Linked DNA regions of Oryza sativa Japonica Group. The protein of the gene in region 1 binds, or shares a complex with, the protein of each later gene. Links are inferred from orthologs where the notes say so. Each region holds a gene or a part of one and is shown in the gene's direction. Other genes may lie near its edges.

Evidence for each region.
Region 2: photosynthetic NDH subunit of lumenal location 1, chloroplastic (region 1) and nAD(P)H-quinone oxidoreductase subunit M, chloroplastic share a complex: the UniProt entries of both Arabidopsis thaliana proteins name them as parts of the chloroplast NDH complex. The link is inferred for Oryza sativa Japonica Group from reciprocal best matches to the Arabidopsis thaliana genes PnsL1 and NdhM.
Region 3: photosynthetic NDH subunit of lumenal location 1, chloroplastic (region 1) and NAD(P)H-quinone oxidoreductase subunit N, chloroplastic share a complex: the UniProt entries of both Arabidopsis thaliana proteins name them as parts of the chloroplast NDH complex. The link is inferred for Oryza sativa Japonica Group from reciprocal best matches to the Arabidopsis thaliana genes PnsL1 and NdhN.
Region 4: photosynthetic NDH subunit of lumenal location 1, chloroplastic (region 1) and photosynthetic NDH subunit of subcomplex B 4, chloroplastic share a complex: the UniProt entries of both Arabidopsis thaliana proteins name them as parts of the chloroplast NDH complex. The link is inferred for Oryza sativa Japonica Group from reciprocal best matches to the Arabidopsis thaliana genes PnsL1 and PnsB4.
Region 5: photosynthetic NDH subunit of lumenal location 1, chloroplastic (region 1) and NAD(P)H-quinone oxidoreductase subunit O, chloroplastic share a complex: the UniProt entries of both Arabidopsis thaliana proteins name them as parts of the chloroplast NDH complex. The link is inferred for Oryza sativa Japonica Group from reciprocal best matches to the Arabidopsis thaliana genes PnsL1 and NdhO.
Region 6: photosynthetic NDH subunit of lumenal location 1, chloroplastic (region 1) and photosynthetic NDH subunit of lumenal location 4, chloroplastic share a complex: the UniProt entries of both Arabidopsis thaliana proteins name them as parts of the chloroplast NDH complex. The link is inferred for Oryza sativa Japonica Group from reciprocal best matches to the Arabidopsis thaliana genes PnsL1 and PnsL4.
Region 7: photosynthetic NDH subunit of lumenal location 1, chloroplastic (region 1) and NAD(P)H-quinone oxidoreductase subunit S, chloroplastic share a complex: the UniProt entries of both Arabidopsis thaliana proteins name them as parts of the chloroplast NDH complex. The link is inferred for Oryza sativa Japonica Group from reciprocal best matches to the Arabidopsis thaliana genes PnsL1 and NdhS.

Annotation. Positions count from the first base shown.
Region 1 is NC_089037.1:9,604,824-9,608,372, forward strand, and holds photosynthetic NDH subunit of lumenal location 1, chloroplastic, read left to right. Parts: upstream 1-1,141; 5' UTR 1,142-1,261; coding exon 1,262-1,303; intron 1,304-1,379; coding exon 1,380-1,476; intron 1,477-1,562; coding exon 1,563-1,646; intron 1,647-1,789; coding exon 1,790-1,863; intron 1,864-1,973; coding exon 1,974-2,096; intron 2,097-2,228; coding exon 2,229-2,300; intron 2,301-2,485; coding exon 2,486-2,582; intron 2,583-2,735; coding exon 2,736-2,845; 3' UTR 2,846-3,049; downstream 3,050-3,549. Other genes in the region: E3 ubiquitin-protein ligase CSU1, read left to right, coding at 1-636. UniProt on the Arabidopsis thaliana protein: NDH shuttles electrons from NAD(P)H:plastoquinone, via FMN and iron-sulfur (Fe-S) centers, to quinones in the photosynthetic chain and possibly in a chloroplast respiratory chain.
Region 2 is NC_089038.1:27,480,329-27,483,421, forward strand, and holds nAD(P)H-quinone oxidoreductase subunit M, chloroplastic, read left to right. Parts: upstream 1-1,372; 5' UTR 1,373-1,412; coding exon 1,413-1,898; intron 1,899-2,052; coding exon 2,053-2,229; 3' UTR 2,230-2,593; downstream 2,594-3,093. Other genes in the region: uncharacterized LOC4336529, read left to right, coding at 1-19, 111-347; uncharacterized LOC4336531, read right to left, coding at 2,861-2,938. UniProt on the Arabidopsis thaliana protein: NDH shuttles electrons from NAD(P)H:plastoquinone, via FMN and iron-sulfur (Fe-S) centers, to quinones in the photosynthetic chain and possibly in a chloroplast respiratory chain.
Region 3 is NC_089035.1:38,936,210-38,939,115, reverse strand, and holds NAD(P)H-quinone oxidoreductase subunit N, chloroplastic, read left to right. Parts: upstream 1-1,159; 5' UTR 1,160-1,264; coding exon 1,265-1,627; intron 1,628-1,742; coding exon 1,743-1,859; intron 1,860-1,972; coding exon 1,973-2,058; intron 2,059-2,142; coding exon 2,143-2,212; 3' UTR 2,213-2,406; downstream 2,407-2,906. Other genes in the region: protein DMP7, read right to left, coding at 2,425-2,906. UniProt on the Arabidopsis thaliana protein: NDH shuttles electrons from NAD(P)H:plastoquinone, via FMN and iron-sulfur (Fe-S) centers, to quinones in the photosynthetic chain and possibly in a chloroplast respiratory chain.
Region 4 is NC_089036.1:31,695,870-31,699,353, forward strand, and holds photosynthetic NDH subunit of subcomplex B 4, chloroplastic, read left to right. Parts: upstream 1-1,497; 5' UTR 1,498-1,603; coding exon 1,604-1,693; intron 1,694-1,797; coding exon 1,798-1,842; intron 1,843-1,936; coding exon 1,937-2,090; intron 2,091-2,184; coding exon 2,185-2,240; intron 2,241-2,329; coding exon 2,330-2,401; intron 2,402-2,548; coding exon 2,549-2,677; 3' UTR 2,678-2,984; downstream 2,985-3,484. UniProt on the Arabidopsis thaliana protein: NDH shuttles electrons from NAD(P)H:plastoquinone, via FMN and iron-sulfur (Fe-S) centers, to quinones in the photosynthetic chain and possibly in a chloroplast respiratory chain.
Region 5 is NC_089035.1:42,963,003-42,966,248, forward strand, and holds NAD(P)H-quinone oxidoreductase subunit O, chloroplastic, read left to right. Parts: upstream 1-1,317; 5' UTR 1,318-1,382; coding exon 1,383-1,623; intron 1,624-1,773; coding exon 1,774-1,829; intron 1,830-1,955; coding exon 1,956-2,021; intron 2,022-2,136; coding exon 2,137-2,178; intron 2,179-2,256; coding exon 2,257-2,316; intron 2,317-2,413; coding exon 2,414-2,443; 3' UTR 2,444-2,746; downstream 2,747-3,246. Other genes in the region: phosphatidylserine decarboxylase proenzyme 2, read right to left, coding at 115-345. UniProt on the Arabidopsis thaliana protein: NDH shuttles electrons from NAD(P)H:plastoquinone, via FMN and iron-sulfur (Fe-S) centers, to quinones in the photosynthetic chain and possibly in a chloroplast respiratory chain.
Region 6 is NC_089036.1:32,085,314-32,088,927, forward strand, and holds photosynthetic NDH subunit of lumenal location 4, chloroplastic, read left to right. Parts: upstream 1-1,220; 5' UTR 1,221-1,295; coding exon 1,296-1,697; intron 1,698-1,931; coding exon 1,932-2,024; intron 2,025-2,130; coding exon 2,131-2,191; intron 2,192-2,319; coding exon 2,320-2,388; intron 2,389-2,566; coding exon 2,567-2,634; 3' UTR 2,635-2,686; intron 2,687-2,796; 3' UTR 2,797-3,114; downstream 3,115-3,614. UniProt on the Arabidopsis thaliana protein: NDH shuttles electrons from NAD(P)H:plastoquinone, via FMN and iron-sulfur (Fe-S) centers, to quinones in the photosynthetic chain and possibly in a chloroplast respiratory chain.
Region 7 is NC_089041.1:5,276,820-5,279,532, reverse strand, and holds NAD(P)H-quinone oxidoreductase subunit S, chloroplastic, read left to right. Parts: upstream 1-1,159; 5' UTR 1,160-1,250; coding exon 1,251-1,988; 3' UTR 1,989-2,213; downstream 2,214-2,713. UniProt on the Arabidopsis thaliana protein: NDH shuttles electrons from NAD(P)H:plastoquinone, via FMN and iron-sulfur (Fe-S) centers, to quinones in the photosynthetic chain and possibly in a chloroplast respiratory chain.

The DNA of each region.
Region 1 (3,549 bases):
GAGGAGGATGAGAAGCGTATGCTGCAAAAGTCCAAGGAGTTGGACGCTTTTGATCAGCAGAATCATGGAGCCGTCCCCCAATACCACGATCGCAGCGGCTCTGAAGACAAGAATGGTTTTCATGGAGCAAACAGCGTGAAGGTTACTTCCTTTGAGGAGGAAGCCCTTCGCAACATGAAGGCATTCTGGCTTCCATCAGCTACACCTGAAGCTACTGCCAAAGTAGAAGCTCCCTCCACTGACACAATCTGCCCCGAGGGACAGGAGAAGCTCAAGTTGAAATCGCTCTTCCCTATCTCCTTCACTGAAGAAAACACCGACCAGAAAAACAAGAAGTCGGTGGAGAAGAGCTACATGTGCCCCAGTTGCAAGTCTACCCTAACAAACACCATGTCCCTGGTGACGATCAGCACGTGTGGCCATGTCTTCTGCAAGAAGTGCTCTGACAAGTTCCTTGTAACTGATAAGGTCTGCTTGGTGTGCAACAAACCGTGCAAGGAGAGGAATTTCGTTCCTTTGGAAAAAGGAGGAACTGGATTCGCTGCCCATGATGAGCGTCTAGAGGCGAGAGATTTCAAGCATTTGGGGAGTGGTTCTGGACTGGGTTTAGTGAAACCTGCCCCAAAGAACTACTAGCCTCAAAATATCTTAGCTGCTGTTGTATATTATTTATGTTAACCTGAAAATTTTGTTTCAAGCATCCCCTTTCGCTGTGAACAGTCTGGAGCAAATTCAGTCTTGTTATGCTAGTGGCACTATGGTTGCTAATTGCAGCTTTGCTTATTTGCTATGGCTAAATGCGTTAGTTCGCAGCTGTTGTACTATTTATCTACCAAGTTTGAAGCACAGTCAAAATCATCTTTCTTGTTACATCGAAGCTATCGAATATGTATCGCATGATCTGATGGTAGGATCGTGTGTGTGTGTGTGTACATATATTGTTTTTCAGCCAAAGTCAATGTACAAAAAAAAAGGTAAAAAGAGAATTGGAAAAACATAAAGCTCTCACATATCTCCACCACAATCACAACAGGAACGGATTGGTCCCATTTTGTCAGTCAGTGCTCAGTACGAGACAAGGCCAAAAGTTCTAATGAGGATAATGGAAATGCTGACCTGGCTTCCTTGCCCTCCACTCACACAGACACACAGACTACACTTGAAAAGCGAACGAGCCAGTCCTAGCAGCAAAGGATAACTTGACTGGAGGAAGGCAAGAACACGTATTTTCTTCAGGTTCATAGCTACTCCTGCAGGTGAAATGGCAAGCCTGCAGAATTTGATCTGCTCCGTTTCCAAGCAGGTGTGTGCTTGTGCCCTCTTCTCATCGTTTTCTGAATCTTGTTTATTTCACCACTTTATATCGGTGTTGTTTTCAGTTGGTTGCTCCAAATTGTGCTGTTACCAGCAAGCTGAATGCGTCTCCTCTGTCAGTCGTCAACGCTAGCTCGAGTGAAGCATCCTCGGATGAAAAGAGTAAATTCCTCTCTGTCAGTTCTCTCGATGCATTTTGTTTCTGAAGATTAACATTTTTTTTGGCTGATTATCTCTCCATCTTACAGATGTGACAAGGAGGAGATTAGCTCTGCTTGGTGCTGGAGCATTAGCCACTGGTCTGCTAAAGAGCAGCTCTGCATATGCTGAAGGCATGGCCATCTGAACTGTCGCATGGTTTTATTTCAGTACTAGGTTGTCTGCATGTTACATACAAGTTCCCACTTCTCAAGTAGCCATTAAGCCTTTATGGCACCATGAGATGATACTAACTCGGATTGTTCCTATATTCCAGAAGTGCCAAAGAATTACAAGTCTTATGTGGATTCAAAAGATGGATATTCATACCTGTATCCAGCTGATTGGAGGGTAGGTTGCAATATTTTCGTCTTGAAGAACAGAGATGTCAGTTCCAATGACTGTGTTTTCGGTGGTACATGGTATTGATGTATGCCCTTTGTTTTGATGTGTCACTTCAGGATTTCGACTTCCTGGGGCATGATTCAGCGTTCAAAGATCGTAATGTAGCGCTGCAGTGCGTGCGTGTGGGCTTCATTCCTACTACAAAAACAGATATCCGTGACCTTGGTCCAATGGATGAGGTAGGATTTCATGCGATATCTGATAATATCTTTCTTGGTAATGTAAAGGAATCAGGCAATTTTTTTAGCCTTTTCTTTTGTTATACATCATAGATTTTTTTTATTCTGACAATTTACATACTCCTCTATCAGGCGATCTTCAATTTGGTGAACAATGTTTATGCTGCTCCAAATCAAATACCAACTGTCTATGACATGCAAGAGGTTTGCCATTTATCCATCTCCTTCAATCAATACTATTTAGCCATATGATCTATCTGAGTATACCAAACTGTCGCTGCATTGCTCTTTCGCTGATTAATTTACGTCTGATCTCATTGGAATGGCTATAACAAAGACTGCAACAACTCTGCAAGCAAAATAAGCAACTGAGTTGTTGTGATTCGCAGCGCACCGTGGATGGCAAGAACTACTGGACATTTGAGTACGATCTTGAGGCCCCGGGCTACGGCGTGTCCGCATTTGCGACGGTTGCCATTGGAAACGGTATGATATTGATATGATGCCTCCTCACCACAAGATCGCAGAGATATATATCATCATCATCTATTAAATTGTATATTTCATCATGCATGTATTTTTTTTTCCTCTCATAAGAAGAAGCTGGTTAACCTGATGGCAATGGCAATGGCATGGCAGGTCGGTACTACACACTGATCGTGACGGCGAACGAGCGGCGATGGAGTAGGCTGAGGAACAGGCTCAAAGTCGTCGCCGACTCCTTCAAGCTGTCCGACCTCACCGCGTGATGGGAGGCAGTTCAATTGCAGAAATATCTTTTATTTTATTGCTTCGTAGTCATGTAGATACATACATACATACAGACGCTGATCTACCACTAGAAAAAGTGCTGGATCGAACACCCTGGCTCAGCTTCCAGGAAAAAGGATGCATAATTACCTTATAGACTTCAATTAATTAATTGTGTGTATGCTATTAGAGCTATTTTTCTATTATAGCCATCTAATTATGTTGATTGAATCGGTTCAACCATCAGTTGCAACTTGCAAGCGACGAGTAGCCATCAGTTAAAAAGGCAGACCATTAGGCCATAGTCTCCGGAGCCAAGGACTTAACAGATCAACAGCGTTTCTATACAGACGTGTGCACGATCAAACCAATACATTACAGAGGCGAAAGGAATCAAGTACACAGGCCTCAGAAAGAATGTTTGCAACTCATATATTACAACAATTACAATGCCCTCCAAACTTGCTAACTATTTCCAGAATAAGTTCCCCTCCAAACCCGCTAACTATTTCCAGAATAAGTTCCTAGAGTTTCAACAAAGCTAGTCATCTGAATCTTCAGACTAAAATTTTGTTGTCAAGACCAGGTCACCATTCCGCTCATTCAGAGCAGCGCCAGCGACACCTAACATTTTTCCTCCGACAAAACGGTAAGCCACAGAACCATGACCCCTGGCTGAACAGAGCGAAAAGGAACTTGATCA
Region 2 (3,093 bases), on another chromosome or scaffold:
AAACCACGTTTCCTTCCAGGTATCAGTCGCATGCACGCAGGTCGATCAGCTACTGTTATGTTCGAGAGCAGAGTTCGTATTTGTCTTAACTCGATTTGAGCGAATGGCAGTGCTCAGACATGGCGGTCATGAAGGCGAGGCTACGAGCCATGGACCGGGAGTTCGTCGTGAGGAAAGTGTGGGACGGGGAGACGGTGGTGGACCAGCTCTTCTTCCACGACCCCGACGGCAATATGATCGAGGTCTGCAACTGCGAGAACCTCCCCGTGATACCCCTCATCGTTGCATCGACGCCCGGGCTTCCTGAGCTGCTGCCGCCGGCGATGCAGACCAATGTCCATGGCTAGCTCGAGCTACGTTCTTATGTCTCTCCTTTGTACATAAATACATGATTAAATTTCATTCGTTTGAATTGGTTCATTCGTACGTTAGTTGTAAGTATTCTATTTGCTGCACCATGCATACACGTTAGTTGTAGTAATTGATTGCTGCCAAGATTACATTACTGCCCAATATATATATATATATATATGAACAAGTTGTTTATATATAATAAAGTGTTTTAAGTGTTCCAAGTCTCCGGTGTACGACGTACATGTCTCCCAAGTATTTTACTCTGTTCGTCCCATTTTAAGTGTAGCCATGATTTTCCGCGCCTAATTTTAACGGTCCGTCTTATTTAAAAAAAATTAAAAACATAAGTCACGGGTAAAGTGCTATTCATGTTGTATCATCACATAACAACAACAAAAATACTAATTATAAAAAATTTTCAAATAAGACGGATGATCAAAGTTAGACACGGAAATTTATGGTTGCACTTAAAATAGGACGGATGGAGTAATCCTGAACAGACTTTTCCCGCCTGAGAAAGCTTAAAATCACTACAGAGGCTTTTGCTTTGCCTTTCATGTGAAGCGATCATCACAAAGTGAAAAGGAAAAAAAATTACTCTCGTTATTTTAAAGGCCATGGAGTATGCGTATCCTCTGCTTTTGCTGTGCCGAGGAAAAGTGGGTTACTTCTTTAAGTATGAAATCACCGTCACACCACATGGAGTTATAAAAAAACAGTCACATACAAAGTTTTGTCAGAAATGCAACAGTATTTATCCATACCACACGAGAGCGCGTGCTGCTCAGCTCTGTCATGCAATGCAACAGGCCGTGCCAACGTCCACAGCCCAATACATTTGTGTGGTCAATTGGCCCAGAACATGTACGAGTCGCTGAAACCCAGTGCCAGAAATAGCCCTTATCCACACAAGCCACACACAGCCAGTGGCTCCAAGGCGGCACGGCACGGCAGCTTAGCCGCGCGCGCGCAGGCGCAGCAAACCTAAAAAAACCACCACCACCCACGCAACACAAACACAAGCCAAGCCAAAGCCAAGCGAAACAGCTGCGCGCAGCATGGCAACCACGGCGTCCCCGTTCCTGTCCCCGGCCAAGCTGTCGCTCGAGCGCCGGCTCCCGCGCGCGACGTGGACGGCGCGACGAAGCGTCAGGTTCCCGCCGGTGCGAGCCCAAGATCAGCAGCAGCAGGTGAAAGAGGAGGAGGAGGAGGCGGCGGTGGAAAACCTGCCGCCGCCGCCGCAGGAGGAGGAGCAGAGGCGGGAGCGGAAGACGAGGAGGCAGGGGCCGGCGCAGCCGCTGCCGGTGCAGCCGCTGGCGGAGAGCAAGAACATGAGCCGGGAGTACGGCGGGCAGTGGCTGAGTTGCACGACGCGGCACATCCGCATCTACGCCGCGTACATCAACCCGGAGACCAACGCCTTCGACCAGACGCAGATGGACAAGCTCACCCTCCTCCTCGACCCCACCGACGAGTTCGTCTGGACCGACGAGACGTGCCAGAAGGTCTACGACGAGTTCCAGGACCTCGTCGATCACTACGAGGTATACTACGCACCGTAACTCATAGGCAGAATTGGCAATTGCAAATGCAGGGTAGCAGTAGTGTACACCCATGGTCTCTTTCTCCAGGTGGAAATGTTAGTTGTAAGAGCTTAATTGGTAGTACCTGCTTAACTGACCTGGATTGAATTTACAGGGCGCGGAGCTGTCAGAGTACACGCTTCGTTTGATCGGATCTGATCTTGAGCACTTCATCCGCAAACTGCTATACGATGGGGAGATAAAGTACAACATGATGTCTAGAGTCCTCAATTTCAGCATGGGCAAACCAAGGATCAAATTCAACAGCAGCCAGATCCCAGATGTAAAATAGAATGCGTGTTGTACCCTAAAGAGAAAGCATGTAACTATCAATGATTTTCCCGTTCAAAGATGCCCAATGTATATTTTGCTCTTCCAGAAGAGCCATGAGCTAGGGTATTTCCGAACTCAAATCGGGTTCATACAAAAGCAGAACATTCACAGTCGATAATAATTTTGTCGACTCCAACATGGTTACATAAAGAGAAGCTGAGCAAACTGAGGGTATTACCCTGTCGTGAAGACTAAGGAAGGGTCTAGCACTCTAGTTTCATGGCATTTCCGTTCTATGGTTTTTGCTGAGTATTAGCGGTGTGAAAATGTCGATACTTCAGGTAATCCAATCACATTGAAATAACACCACTGCTTTATTGCTTTATGATGGTGAGATCAGGTAGAACATGGAATCCAGCCCTCAAATTCACAGGCAAAACTCAATGTTAAATTATTTGCAAAGAGGATGTGCGCATATTCCAATAGGGAATTATTTCTCGATCATTGGCAATATATTTATTTATCTCATTCCATATAGATACGAGACAATCTCTGCTGATGACATTACGTCACCCTTAAGAGAGTCATTCCCGCAAATAGATGTTTAATGTTTTGGACTTGAGGGTTTGACCAGCTGCAATGTGTAAATCTCAATCGATCAAAGGAATAACCTCGTGGTCTTTAGAAACATCAACCCATGGCCTGAATTGATCTTCATGTGCATTATTCTGCAAAAGAGTGTCATACAATTCAAAAATTGCCAATTACAAAACTGCATCTCAATCTTTTTTTAGAAAAATGCCATCGCTGCATTAAGTACTAATGTCATCATGCTACTTAGGTAGTTGTGTTGTACTAAACTGCAGAGTACAATTCCACGCAG
Region 3 (2,906 bases), on another chromosome or scaffold:
GTACAGTACAGTCGGGTCACAGTGGAGGGCGGGGACGGGGAATGGTTCACCGTCCCCGCCCCCGTCATCCCCGATGGTGAGAGGTTTTTAACCATTTCATTCCCCATGGTGAGTGGATATTAACCATCCCCTGTCACCTAATAGGTGAATTCACCGCGGGGAAATGGTGAACGGGCCCCCATTGCCATCTCTACGCCCGGCTGGATCTGGCGGTGGGGCAGAGTGGTCGGGCGCAACGATTGGAGGTGTTGGCGGCGGCGGAGGAGGAGACCGCTAGATCCGTGCCTGGATCTAGCGGCGGCGGGCGAGGACCGGCGCCACTACGGCCGGATCCGGACGGCGACGATTGTGGGCGACGGTGACGGCGGTGGAGGTGCGGGAGGCTGCGTGAAATCCTAGCCCGGTCTTGGCCAGACCAGCAACGATGATGTTCGAGCGTCATTCCCCTCCTAAGGCCGTTGTTATGCCATCTCACCCTCAAGTGTAGTTGTCGGGCGAAAGCCTAGTCTTGGTTCGATTTGAGATCTTGATAGACTGTGGCGGCGATGTTTCATCACTTCTCTCCGTTTTCGTGGTAGAAACTAGAAACATCGTCTAGGCATCACCTTGTTGAAACCCTCAAGCTTTTGGTGCAAGCTCACTCTAGATTCTCATCCTCTTGTGACAGCGTTCTAGTTTCTGCAAGTTGGCCATGTCGAAGGGACTAAGGGAAGAGGAATTTCATTCTTCTCTCTCACCCTCTCCCTAAATCCCGAAGACTTGGATAGAGTGGTTTTGCGTTGGTTGTAAGGGTCGGGTTTGGGCAAAATCTCGGCTGTGTTTCGTTGTTGGCCTAGTGGTGGTCGGTCACGCTTAGCGGCGGCTGGCCCGGTGATAGCCTTATCTTGATTTTGTGTTGGTGCTATCGGTGTGTGGGTGGTGATGTACTTTTTTTCATTTTTCTTGGTTACAATATTACAACATTGTAATCTTGTATTTTTTTTCCTACTCTATCAATGGAACTTACGGGTTACGGCTTTCTGGTGTTGGGGTTCGTATTTGGGCCTGATCTAGCGTGGTTACATGCTTGGGCCACGTCTCGGACCATCCGCTTGGGTGGACTCCGCGGAGATCACCGCTCAGTTGAACAAACTGGGCGCACGACACCGTCTCCGAGTCTTATCCGCTCAACGCGGTCAGTACGCGCGCGGCTGTTATCTTCCCGCCACAGGCTCAAACAAACGACACCCACCCACCCACACACACTACACTACAGCAACCAGCGATGTGGTCGGCGGCGGCGGCGCGCACGGTGACCCCGCTGCCGGCGGCGTCGCCCCTGCAGCAGCATCAGCAGCGGCGCGGGGCGTGGGCGCGGGTGGGCAATGGTCGGGCGGCGAGCACGACGGCGGCGCGGGCAGGGCTGTGGGACTTCGTGGGAGGGGACCTGGTGAAGCCGGACATGGGGCGGTGGCTGGACGACGTGGAGAAGCACAAGTCGCTGGCCATCTACCCGCCGCACGAGGGCGGCTACGAGGGCCGCTACCTCAGCCGCCTCAGCTACCAGGGCTACTACTTCCTCGACCTCTCCGCCCGCGGCCTCGGCGACCCCGAGACCACCCTCACCAAGATCCACCCCGTCTGCCCGGTCAGTCCACAAAACAATCCTCTCTCTCGATCTCGATCTCGAGCTAGCTAGTAGCTAGCTGCCTCCGATCATGGCTGACACGAGCTTGCTTGCTTGATTGCTCTGATGTGCGCAGCCGAGCCTCGGGAGGCAGCCGGTGGCGAGGTGGTACTTCCCGCCGGAGGTGGACTACAGGCTCAGCTTGCTGCACCCGGACGCCAAGGGCCTCGTCGTCTGGGTCATGGAAGCCAAGGTCTCCATCCATTGATCCATCGATCTCACCATCCTGTTCTCTAGCTCAGCTCTGCAATTTCCCGTTTCGTTTCTGCGTCCCGTTAATTTGTTTGGTGGTTTCTATTTCTGCAGGTTCTCTCCAAGGCCGAGCTGCAGTTCCTCGCCATTCTCCCTGACATCCGCCCCAAAGTCAGGGTGATCGCGGAATGCGGCAACTGGTACGTAAACCTGAACCCCGAAATTAATGATGACGATGTGTTCTTGTGATCTCTGAATTAAATTCTGTGCCCTGTTTGGCCCAGGAGGAAATTTGTGTGGAAGCCGCTGAAGCAAATCGCGGGCCTTGAGCCGGACCCTGACGCAGAGGAATGAACAAGATCAAGACCATTAACAGGCAGCCTGAAACAAAGTTACTTGATATATATCTCATCCAACACACATTGTTTCCCGCTTTGTACTTCACTTGAGAGAGGCAATGAAGAATGTACATACATTTTGGCTCAAATTACCCCAAGACAACCATGTAAAATCAAACTTTCACATAATACAAATCCATCAGAAGACCATGCGATCCTTTCGTCTCATCAGCGGCGTAGGTAGACAAGGTCGGTGCTGAGCAGGAACGGGTACCCGATTCCCCTCCTCTTGGACGGGAAGAGCACGAAGAGGAGGCTGACCACGAAGCCGATCACGAGGGGCACCGTGTTCACCACCTTCCTGGGCACGCCGGGGTAGTAGCACAGCACGATGTCGTGGTGCGACGCGGCGAACGTGACGAAGGCGACGAGGGCCAGGGCGGTGTGGAAGAGGTCCGACCACCGCAGCCTGTACCTCTCCGGCTCCCTCGGCCCCGCCTTCCCGCCGCCCCGCCGGCGACGCCGGCCGCCGACGCAGAACGTGCGGATGCCGCTCGTCGTGGCGATGCCGTACCGGAGGCGGCCGGTGGGGGAGCGGAAGCTGTCGGTGAGCGTGAAGAAGACGCAGGAGGCAGCGCAGAGGAGCATGAGGGCGCCGGTGAGGGCGCGGTTGAGGCGGGTGCACTTGCCGTCGTCGGTGAGGAGGGGCG
Region 4 (3,484 bases), on another chromosome or scaffold:
AAATATTGAACGTACGATTGGTAGGCTCCGATATTTGAAAAAATATTGAACGTACGATTTGTAGCGTCCGATTTAAAAATATTTCAACATAATTAAGTATTTGTGCAAAAATATTTTATTTTTCATATGATTTTTTTTATGTTTCACTCATTGGTATTTAACGTTTTGTGTAGTGGTTGTGATTGTTTCAGTTAGTAAATTGTTGTATTTCTCTAAATTTGAAACAATTCACGAGGTGAGTTGTAATATTTGTGTACATGTGATGAAACAGTTTTCTATCAATGGTGAGACAAGTTATTTTTTGAGACACATGTATATTTTTATCAAAATATAACCATGTGAGATCTTGTTATAAAGATTTAATGATGATGAATCTAATGGTATCATTGAAATTTAGATCAGAATATATAATTTTGGAGAAAAAAATATTTAAAATTTGAGGAAAAAATTAGGCACATGTAATAATAGAAGGGAGAGGGAGGGAGCGTATGCAAGCAGCAGCGCAAGCAACACATACAGGGGAGGCAAGCAACGTGGCACGTGAACAATGCAGCATGGGCGGCCTACATGCATGCGTATGCGCGCGGCAGTGCGGGGGTGAGCGTTGACCAGCAAGTGAAACATTATGTTATATATGGTGAAACAAAAAAAATCAACAACCGAAACATTTAAGTATTTTATGAAACATGGTGAAAATACACGTTGAAACATGTCGCTGGCACATATGAAACAACAAGTATTAACGAATTGAAACATATATTTTTCTTTTATCAAAATAAAATCATGTGATATTTTATTGTAAAGATTTAATTAGAACAAATATAATGGTGTGATCGGATCATAAATTGGATAAGTAATTTAAGAGAAAAATTATTTTGAAGCTTGCTAAAATACATACATGTGTGCATGGATGAGGTGGAGAGAGAGGAGAGAGAGTAGTAGCAGTTAGTTTCATGAATTTTGTGAAACACACCGATGACACATATTGAAACATATCACTATCACGTACGAAACATTTTGTTTTAACGTTTTGAAATACATGTTTTTCTTTTGACATAATATAATCATGTGATATCTCATTGTAAAGATTTAATTGCAACGAATAGAACGGTGTGATCGGATCGTAAATTGGATAAGTAATTTAGGATAAAAAATATCTAAAGAGAGGAGAAAAGAATGAAAAGAAGCAGTTAGACACATACGTTACAGTGACAGGGTTCGTTCTCACATGCCTGCATGGGCGTCCGATTTTTGGTGAGATGCCGGACGCCAAGCCGTAGCGCCCTCCAAGAAATGGCGGACGGATGCACGTAACGGGCCACGAGCCCACGGGTCAACCTAATCCCATCCGGCCCAAACATGACCTTGACCGGGCAAGGCCTAGCAACGCTCAAGCCCGCTTCAACCAAGCCCAAAATTCTTGTGCTTTTCGTCTGCCCAAGATCAGACAATGGTTGGCCACCCAAAAGTCTGACCTTATCCACTAAAATTTTCCATACAGATTACAGGTTACAGGTTTCACCCCTGAGCCAAACGTGAGCCCGCTACACTGACAACAACAAGCTCATCGCCAACCCGCTACTGAAGCAGCAGCCTACCAGCAATGGCGTTGCCGCTGCTCAAGTCGTCCCCCCACTTCTCTGCTCTTCACTCCGCGAACAGAGCCCAGCTCCATGGCCGCTGCCGTGCAACGGTACCGCACCGTCCATTCTCCCCTTCGCGTTCATGCAAAAACTGCTTTCCTGAATTCCTTGCGAATTTCACCTACTTGTTCAAATGTTGTTGTTAAATTTGCAGCTCGGTGGATTCCATGACCCGAGGTCCAACTCCAGCCGTTGCAAGGTGAAAGGTCCCAGTGCATTTTAATTTTTTCACCGAGAAAGAAGAAATCCGTGGTGATTGGTGAGGCAAAGTAATGCGGTCTTAGCGTTTGCAGAAATCGGCCGGGAGGGGTTCAGTGAAGGCGAACGCGTCCCCGTTGGACGTGGTGACGCTGATGGTGACGATGGTGGAGCACGTCGACCTGCAGAGGGACTACGTCGTGCACAAGTCGATCTGGCATCTCAGCGACGCCGCCCTCAAGAGCGTCTGTGAGTCGTCGTCGTCGTTTCACCTTTCCTGCAGTTTGTTGTTACGTCTGAAACTGAAACTTTTCACAAAAAAATTTCTCTGTCTGTCTCGTAGATACCTTCTACGCCTTCTTCACAGTCTGGGGCATCTGCTTCTTTGCGTCCATGAAGGCAAGCACGCAGAACATATGCCACTACAACTTGGAACGAAATTACATCTTCGATATGTGTTACTGACACGGTCTTGTGTGAATTTACAGGATCCTTTCTACGACAGTGAGGCGTACAGGGGACAAGGGGGTGACGGCACCGTGCACTGGTACTATGACCGGGTATGTCTTTCATTACGGCTTTTTTTTTTTCCTTTATCACGAAGAAAGAACATTCAGACAATTAGACAAACTCTAGTTGTGCGAAGCTACTAAGATAACCAGTCATTTTGCTGATCGATCTCCACTCTCCCATGGTTGATTCTGCAGCAAGAGGACCTGGAGGCGTCTGCAAGAGAGGAGCTCCTGAGGGAGGAGCTACTCGAGGAGATCGAGCAGAGGGTCGGAGGGCTCAGAGAACTCGAGGAAGCAGCCAAGGAGGAGCAGCTTACAAACTGATGGATGAATGAGAGATTGCGCATGGATGGATGACTGCATGATCATGGCGCGATGCGGCTGCATTCTGTAATACCGTACAGAGCGGCTGTGTAATAGCAAGATACACAGTTGCCTGATAGCGCCTGTAAATGTTGGCATCAGACTCAAAAGGAAAGCAAATAGGTGCTCCGTCTGCATGAATGCATTATATTGCATTTGTAGTGTAGGCTAAAAGAAGGAATGTACTACTCCATGTTAATCAAAGAACCTGTACCGTTCACCATGGTGGATATTGCTTCCAAAATATATAAATTGTGTAAATCGACTGATATAGACCTACACCATGGTGGATATACGTGCCCTGTGGAGACGGAAGTTTTGTCAGATCGCAACCAAATTGTGGCGATCCAATATGCTTTCGTTCTGTCGGCTCTCACGGTGTCGGGCCAACTTTATTTGGGTCCAGTACAGAATGGTAGCGATTATGGGCTACCTTTACCGGGCCGCTCGGTGATGGACTGGCCCAAAAAACTCCGTTAGTTCGGCCTGCTTGCGCTGGTGGTCGCGCGCTGGGAATTGGACGCCATCGTCGGCCACGGCCATTCGATCGAGGAAGAAGAACCGCTGATCATACTTGAGCTGCTCCACTACAGGCCGCGAACCAGCAGCAATCAGTCTGCACTCAACGTACAGTACAGACCACACTACCACAGTAGGTAGCACATGTATATACTACTTGTATAGGGTGCAGAACTTCGTAGTATTCCGTCGATCAGCTCATCAGTCATCAGAGACTAACAATAGTTATTTCGACACAGGTCTCTCGAC
Region 5 (3,246 bases), on another chromosome or scaffold:
TACAAAACCACAGCAGCAGCGTACACAGACGGAATGAATCAAAACCACCGATCCCCAATTCCACCCCCCTCCGCTTCGCAGCCGCAAGCACACACACCCAACCCGGCCCCGTACCTTCACTATCCGGATGCGCGCGATGCCGGCGAACTCGTCGACGGCGATGGCCCTCCCCGTCCCCGACTCGGAGGCGTGGGCGTCGCCACCGGGACGCCCCGCGCGGTCGCGGTGGCGCAGGCGGAGGCGGCGGCGGAACCGCTCGAAGCGAGACGGCAGCGGCGAGGGCGGCGACTCGCCGTCGCCGCCGCCGCCGCCGCATGCATTGTGGCGCGAGGGCGAATGGCCCATCTGTCAGTGAGATGGAGTAGTTGGACTCGACGGCAACGCGCAGGCGCAGCGAGAGACTTGAAAGGCGATGACCTTTTAAACGCGAGGCAGAGTAGGAGGAAGGGTCATCGGGTGGTCCCCACATGTCATACAGATAATAATTAATGGCAGTTTCCACATGGCAGTTGTTATACATCTGGGAAAGGCAAAAGGCCGTACCCAAGCAGGAGTCGCCTGGGTGTTCGTTAGACTGACATGTGGGGCCAGGATATGCTCGGATCATTCACTACCTGGACATGCGGAAGAAGATTCATGATTTTTTTTTGCTTTTTTCCAGCGCAACCGTCGCAAGACAAAATAATGGTACGCGTGGGGCCGGTTTGATCGAATATTTTCGAAGGGTTGCTATGTTTTGCTAAAGTAGAGGTCAAATGGGATGGATCATGGATGGATGGGGACGTTGAAAACGCGGTGGATTCATTTGAGGAGGAAGGATCCTTGGCATCGGTCAATTGTGCATGTTACGACAAGTGCCACAAACCAGCAGAAGCAAAGGTAGAAGATGACCATTGCAAAAAAAAAAAAAAAGGGGGGGGGGGTGTCCTCCTAAGCTTAAGCTAGGCTTTGCATTGCTCTCAACGCTTTTCTCCCTTCCACTTGCCGCTGTTGTTTACTCTTTCCAAGCTAAATAGCGACATAAAACTAAAGCGGAATTCCTCATTTGCTCGCTCATTCGCTGAGGTCGAGCATACAACAATCTAAGACGGTGTCATGATCCATGACCTTGACTCCTCCAATTCTCCTTTATTTTTTCTGTCTATCTCTCTCTCTCTTTTCTTTTGCTAATTCATTCATATAATATAATCATCATATATGGGCCTTACCCAAATGAGGTGAGCTGGGCCTGAAGCTTTGTGACAGTTGGCCCAAAACTGAGAGCGCTAGCTCAGGCCCAGTGGTCACCTTATCTGCCGCGTGCAATTCATGTGGCACATATTTACGTGCACTTCGTCACTTTGCTTTTTGCCATTGCCATTGCCAAAGCTAAGCTTCTCGCCATGGAAGCTCTCCTCTCCTCGCCGCGCGCTCTCTTCTCCGTCACGCCAACCGCGTGCTGGCCGGCGTCAGCCAGGAGGAGGAGACGTGTTGCTTCTCCTGTCAAGGCGGCCGCCGCCGCCGCCGAGCCGGCCGGGGAGGAGAAAAAGCCCGCCACCGGCGGCGCCGCGGCGGCGGCGGGAGACGGCCAGGCGGCTGCGCCGGCGCCGAAGAAGATCCTCAAGAAGAAACCTGTCTACTCGAGTAATGAATACGCTTTGCAACTTTGCATTTCAGCTCTGAGTTCTGAACAAGCATCAAAGCCATTTAGCTTCTTGTTTGTTTTTTTGTTTATACTTGATTAACCAATCCATTTATTTTCATCCAATTGATTTGGTTGATGATGCGCCACAGTGAAGAAGGGCCAGATTGTGCGCGTCGACAAGGAGAAGTACTTGAACAGCATCAACGTAAGCACACTGATCGATGCTACTGCATAGATGCTTCATTCATTTCTACTCTTTGTGCTGTAATTTCAGTCTATGATTTCCTCCCCTGCACATGATTTTTTTTAAAAATTTGTTTCATTGATTCAGTATCTGTCAGTTGGACACCCGCCTTTCTTCAAGGGGCTAGACTACATATACGAGGACCGTGGCGAGGTAATTATTTAGCCCATCTTACTGAACCTGAAGTTAATTTCAGCTAATTAAACCTAGCAGTAAGAACATCTTCGTTCTAGCTACGGTCATAATCTTGTTCGTCATTACCGTGCAGGTTTTGGACATCAGAATCTTTGAAACAGGGGAGTATGCCCTGGTGAGTCACCTGCCACTTCATTTCTTCTGTATATTTTGTAGATTTGGACTTCTGAATCTCATTCATATGTTTGGACAGATCGCTTGGGTTGGAATCCCAACTCCACCGGCATGGCTGCCAACTTACATGCTCATCAAGGTAATTACAGTATCTCTAAGTCCATCACACATGCAGCATTGCCAAAATGCAGAATGTACCATCATTTGACCACTTAATCTTAACACTATTTTTACAGTCGGATAAACTCGACTACGAGAGAATATGATATGCACAGGATCGAAGGTTGCGTTCAAGCTAGCTCAGCAATCGGGTGGGAGATCGGTCCTTGGCCTGCCAGACTAGCGTTTTTTCAGTTGTTTTCTTCCCTGCATTGCAGATTCTTCCCCTATTTCGGTTCTTCCGACGATTAATCTGCAGATGTTTTCAGTCGGTTCGTGATATATGACAATGTGTTGTATATAGATGTCAATATGAGGCGATTTGCTGTTGCCTGTTGCTCCGCATCTAAATTAATTATACTGAACTGAAAAATTTAACAAAAGTTAAGTGATGATATTCAGAGCTATTCAGATTCATTTTTTGAGATGGCTAATTATCGTGCCATCTGATCGTATTCTGTAAGCTTCAAAAAAAAAATGTTAGAGATATACTGATATAGAATAGGCTAACGGATGCACATACCCATGAGAACGTCTCTTTTAAACACGTTCGTAATGCATGAAATAACTAAAAGTTCTACTGAAAGAATACTCATTGTACGTGTAACTGCGGATATCAGAATTTAAACTCTAATGAACATACTTCTTCTGTACGCACAAATCCATCACTAGGCCCCGTTTGAATCCTCTAGGAAGAGAGGATATTTTTTTTTTGATATTCGTGGCACGCTTTTCAAACTGTTAAACGGTGTGTTTCGTGCGAAAACTTTCTATACGAAAGTTGTTCTAAAATATTAGATTAATCTAGTTTTTAAATTTGTAATAATTAAAACTTAATTAATCACATGTTATTACCACCTTGTTTTGTTATGAAGCTCTTTTGGAACGCATGTTATTTTTACGAGTTAAT
Region 6 (3,614 bases), on another chromosome or scaffold:
CGCGCGGCTTGCAACGGGCGGCGTCCGCGCGGGCGCGCGCACGCGAACACAGCGCGCGGGAAGCGGCAGCGAGGGAGCGGTGAGGGAGGACTTGGCTCGGCGCGGGCGGCTTACGCGTGCTGGCTCGCGGGGCCGAGCGGAGGGGCGCAGGGCGCGGCTCTCGCGCTCGCGCGTGGCGCGCGAGGGAGGGGCGCTCGGCGCGGCGACGCGCGCTCGCGCGCGCGGCGCGGGGCGGAGCGGAGGGAGAGAGGGAGAGAGCGGGGGCGCGCCGGGGAAAGCGAGAGAGAGAGCCGGGAGAGAGAGGGGAAGATGGGCCGAGGGAAAATCGGCCCATCGACCCTGGGGGAGGCAAAATGGACTTTTGCGGAGGAATTTGATTTGGAGGGATTGGATTCGGAATTGAACTCGACGATAGATCGGGGATTGAGATCTTGAGATGGCACGGATACTAGACAACAAGCAAAGAAACAAATTTCGCAATTAGGGTTTTTAAGAGATAATTTCCCCGCTAGGCGCCACGACGGAACGGGCGCTACAGCAGGTCTGGCGAGGGGGGCGGGGAGGCCGGCGAGCTCGCCCTCATCCCACCTCCAACCCCTCCCCGCCTCCTCCCTCTTCGTATGCACTCGCTGCCGGCCTCCCCGCCTCCTCCCTCTTAGCATACGCTCGCTGCGGGAGCTGTGGGGGATGGCGGCGTTCTGGCTGCAGGCCAACCCCATCCTCGTCGGTGCCGCACCAAGTTGCCACATCGCCACCCGTCGCCAGCTGCCCTACCAGCCTCCTCCGCAATCCGCACCCGCTGGCCGCCCTGAGAAGAGAGAGAGGGAGGGAGAGGAGGGGAAAATGGGAAATAAGAGAGAGGTGATGATATGGCATCTTACATGTGGGACCCACGCGCTGACTCAGCCGTCACGTCAAATAAAACCGGGGTCAAAACCACCGAAGGATCTAAAGTGAACGGTTTTGTTAGTTGAGGAACGCCTGATATCTGGTTTTGCGGTTGGGAAACGATTTTGTAACTCGATGACAAGTTGAGGGACCTTCGGTGTACTTTTTCCTGGAATCATCTGTCGTTCCACGGGCCACGGCCGCCGTTTGGCGACGAGACACGCGGCTTGGCCCGCAAAAAAAACGAGGATTCCTTCCTCGGTCCTCGGGTGTTGAGTTGGGAAAGCCCATGGCCCGTGACGACGTACGCGGGCGTTTATAACGACGCGACAGAGAGGTGCCCGCGTTGCAGCAGCCACAGTTTGGGGATAATCCGATTCTCTACTCCCCAAGTGACTCACTCACCGATGGCGCCTCCTCCTATCTCCTCCTCCCTCTCGCTCATGGCCTCCAACCCAATCCCGTCGCCTCCGGTCGCCAAACCGGGCAGGCCGCTCACCGTCGCGGCGTGCAGCAACAGCAGCAGCAGCTCCTCCTCCTCCTCCCCGTCGTCGACCTCGTGCTCGGCTGCCTGGAGTCTCCCGGTGGCGACGTCGGCCGGCAGGAGGGGGCTGCTCGCGCTGGGCGCGGGGTTCCTGGCTTCCCCTGGGCTTCTGTGCCCCGCCGGCGACGCCGGAGCGACGCGCATCGAGTACTACGCGACGGTGGGGGACAAGCTGTGCGACATGAACGTCGTCAAGTCGGGGCTCGGCTACTGCGACGTCGAAGTCGGCACCGGCGCCCAGCCCCCGCGCGGCCAGCTCATAAATGTCAGTTCCGACAGAAGAGTTTCTCGCACTTTCTCTAGAAGAACCTGTGTTTTCTGAATATGATTAACTCCTGTATGGAGTAATTAAGCATTGGCAGATCATAAATTTGCCCAATTTGCATCAGTACCGATCCTTTAGTTAGTTCGACAACGAATAAACCTGCCATTTTTTTCTCGCCATGACACTGATAGGAGTTTCAAGTGTGTTAATTGGAGTTGTGTTCATGGTTGTAAGGTACACTACACTGCAAGATTTACTGACGGGATAGTGTTCGACAGCACCTACAAGCGAGGACGGCCACTGACAATGCGCCTTGGCGCAGGCAAGGTGCGCAGCTTTTGTTCATTGCACGTACATCTTCGATCGTAGCAAGCATCTTATGTAGTTATGCAAGGAATCTTATTGTTTGGTTCGTTCGCATTTTCATTCTCAGATCCTCCGAGGGCTTGAACAGGGAATCAGTGGTGGCGGTGGTGTGCCACCCATGCTCGTTGGTACTGTCAGAAATCCAGAAATAATAAGCATATGCATCTCTTTGTGTGTCAAATGCTAAAAATATAGTACTGCTTTTATTTTTCTTAATCACATCGTGTCTCTGTTGAAAATCGCAATAACATTACAGGTGGAAAGCGCAAGCTTATGATACCTGCAACTTTGGCATACGGACCTGAACCAGCAGGTTGCTTCTCAGGTAATAACGAAAGAAAAAAAAAAGTAATCAAACAAGTAATCTTAATTTAATTCTAGAAATTTGAGACCAGATTAAGTTTCATGTATTTAACGATGTTTCAGTGCTATCTGTCTGGCTCCCTTATTAGCATTCGCTAGAAAAAATATACAAATTTACAGAAGATTTACTTATTTAACAGGAGACTGTAATATTCCCGGCAACACCACACTCCTATACGACATCTTCCTGGTTGGATTTTACAAGTGAGCATATGATGAAAAGGAATATGCATGACTTGAACAGACTAGGTGCAAACAAGGTATGGTGGTGGTATTCTGAACCTGTCTGATTTTTTTTTCATCTGAAAACAGTATCCCTTGCCTAAAGGGGTTGTTGTTTGTTACATAAGCATGTTACATTCTCTGGCAGATTTTCGAGTAAATTTTGGCGTTTCATACAAGAGGCGGGACTACGGACAGATGAAGAGAAAGGGTGCGACATGCCTAAGCCCAGACGCCGAAAGCAAATGCGTCACCGGAGCTCCTTGGGTCTCCAATACGCAGAGTACTACATTTGCAATCTGTACCAAGAAGTGAAAGGATATATAACAAACCGGTCCTCTGATATACTATCAAATTGGTCTTATGTTTTCTAGAGAAGAAAAGTCTTGTGTTTGTGTAAGTATAACGTTGTAAAGACATGTCTCATTATTCATACTGTCATTGGTACAGCCAAACACAACAAAAATTCCCATCCTTTGTGGCAAGTCCTAACTAAATGAAGTTGAACTCTGACTGAATATCGATTGACTGGTGACTTCCAAACCTTCAACAGTTCAAGCAAGCTAATCGACTGTATCAATACTAATGTACTCAAAAAAATGTCGAAAGTTCGTGTCAAAGCACATGTGCAGTAGTAGCTTTGAGCCTTTGACTGCTGTCTGCACTGCAGTATTGCCACAAGATAATTTAATCATAGGTTTGTTAACCATCAAATCGAAACATGCATTGTTCAGACTTCAGAGAATATCCTAAAATCCTTTTATGAAACCAAAGAACACCCAAATCGTGAGAGTTGAACTATCGATTGACCGGTTCAGAGCCAGAACTGGTAGGTGAATGAGGGAAGAAAAGGAGAGCTGCCATTTCCGTGGCAGGAAGACTCAAGAATTCCAAAAGCTTCTTGTCGGTTTAAAACGAAAACCTTTTTCGTCAGATGCTCTGAATGCTGCTCGGTGTCATGAAATT
Region 7 (2,713 bases), on another chromosome or scaffold:
GTCGTCTACTCCCTCCGTCCCAAAATAACTCAATATAGGATAGGATGTTACATATTCTAAGACAACGAATCTAGATTGAGTTATTTTGTGATTCTCTCCATCCCAAAGAAACCAACCTAAGAGGGGATTTGACCCCTCCCAGTACAACGAATCTGGACACTACATCTCCTCTTAGGTTGGGTTTTTTTTTACGGAGGAAGTATTTCTTACGGATAGTAACTTTAGGGGCCTATTTATGAAAAAAAATAAAAAGGGGCTTAAATGTAAAATTTTCAGTCGAAAAACACGAGGTCCTCATCCGAAATTCCTAATTGGCGACTGGTCGCGTGCCCCCTCACCCCGCGCGGATGGACGCGTGGCGCGCGTAGGAGGGGGAGGGGGCGCGGCGGCCGCGCACAGTGGGAGGCCCGCGTTCTTTTTTTTTCGCCGGTTTTTATGGTTGTTTTCTTCGGTTCTTTGTTTTTTTAAAAAAAAAACATCACATATATAAAGTTTGTATATACAGTATACAAAGTTTATATACATACGTATATAAAGTTTATATATATGCGTATAGTGTATATATAAAATTTATATACGTGATGGTTTTCCTCTATTTTTTTTTATTTTTTAAAATGAACATATATAAAGTTTGTATATATATCATAAACTTTGTTATACGTTATATATAAACTTTTGTATATGCGTATATATTTACATATAAAATATATTTTTTAAATAGTACTAGTAGTATATAATAACAGTAGTAGTGGTGTAGTGGTCCTAGTTACCAGTACTAGTAGTACTAGTACTAGTTCTAGTTAGCTGTGTTTATTCTAGAGTAAAGTTTAGATTTTGGTTGAAATTGAAGATGATGTGACTGAAAAGTTATGTGTGTATGATAGATTGATGTGATAGAAAAGGACTGAAGTTTAGATCCAAACTTTGGATCTAAACACAGCCTTAGTAGTAGTAGTTAGTAGTACTCCAGTTACTACTACTTCCTCCGTTTTACAATGTAAGTCATTCTAGTATTTTTCATATTCATATTGATGTTAACGTGTAATAAATGCTAGAATAATTTATATTATGAAACGGAGGGAGTAGTAGTTTAAAGTAGTACAGTGGTAGTAGTACTAGTAGTACTTTAAGTATATACTGTACTCCGTATAGCAGTACCAGTCGCCCATTAGCCACCCCCGGTCCTCATCCACCTAGGCTTTAAAGGCTTCGTCACTTCCACACATCCTCTGCTCCGCTCTGCTCCACCAATGGCGCCCACCACCCCCGCCTCCTTCCTCCGCCCGCCGCCGCTGCCCCACCACCACCACCCCCGCATCGTCCGCCTGCCCCCTCCCTCGGCGACCTTCCGCGTCGCTGACCTCCTCGGCGGCCGGGGTCTCTGCAACGGCGAGGTCGGCATCCGCAAGGAGCTCGCCTCCGACTCCCCCGCCGCGCCGCCATCCACCACCACTTCTTCCGACGAGCCCGCGGAGTCGCCACCGCCGCCGCCGGCTGCGTCCGGGGTGGACCCGGACGCGTTCGACAAGGAGATGATGGGCCTCACCGGCGGATTCCCCGGCGGCGAGGTCGGCCTCAAGGACTTCGTCGCCAAGAACCCGCCTCCCCCCAAGCCGGCGCACAGGAAAGGTCTCGCCGCCGCCGCCACGGTGGAGCGGCCGAGGGCGCCGGAGCTGCCGCTGTTCCTCCCCGGGATGGTGGTGCTCGTCAAGAACCCCAACAACGCCTACCACATGTACTGCGGCATCGTGCAGCGCGTCACCGACGGCAAGGTCGGGGTGCTGTTCGAGGGGGGGATCTGGGACAGGCTCATCACCTTCGATCTCGACGAGCTCGAGGGGAGGGAGAAGGGCCCGCCCATGGTGAACCCTAAGTCCGTGCTGCTCGAGTCCCTCGCCGCGGAGATGGAGGACGATGTGGCCAAGGAGGAGGAGGGAGAGGAGGCCAAGAAGAAGAAGGAGGAGGAAGGCACCGCCGCCGCGGCTTGACCACCATTGCTGCTTCTGCTTCTTCTTGTATGTATACAGCTATCTATATTTTCTTAGATGATGGAAGTGAAAGGGGTATATATATATATATTATCTATTCGATGAGTAATTTCGAAGTGAGTAAATGTGTTGTTGTTAATTGCTATATGTACAGTTGGAATCTTAGTGTGAATTGGCACTATGAAACAAACGATTCGGAGATAAAAGTTTAGCTTCTTTGTTGAATTGCTATATGTTTGATCAATTTGATCACGTTTGGTCCGGATTGCTAGTGAAATGCCTACAAGGGCACCAGTTGCCATAGTTCATTATGTTGGTAGGATTAATTTTTTTTTTTACAAACTTGAATTATCATCTCTTGCTTCTTGAAGCGAAGAGGCTATGACAGTCAGGTAACCAGGCTTTCATGATTGTAAATTGTACAGAGTATGAATGTTCAAGTGTTCGTTATTCCTGACATGACTTCAAAATCCCGCAGTATTTCGCACAGCAACTATCTATGCATTGTAGTTTACGTTTGCCTGATAGCTGGTTTCCCATGATTTTTGTTTATTTGAAAGAGTATATGAAAAGATAGGGCCTTTACTTCTATATAACCTGCCTTACTCAGGAATAAGTGTAGCAGCAGATTTAAAAGGATGGTAAAGGAAGACAGTGAAGTAACAATAATGATATAGTGTTTTGCAAACAGAGTACAATTTGTATTGATTACCACCATCTATATC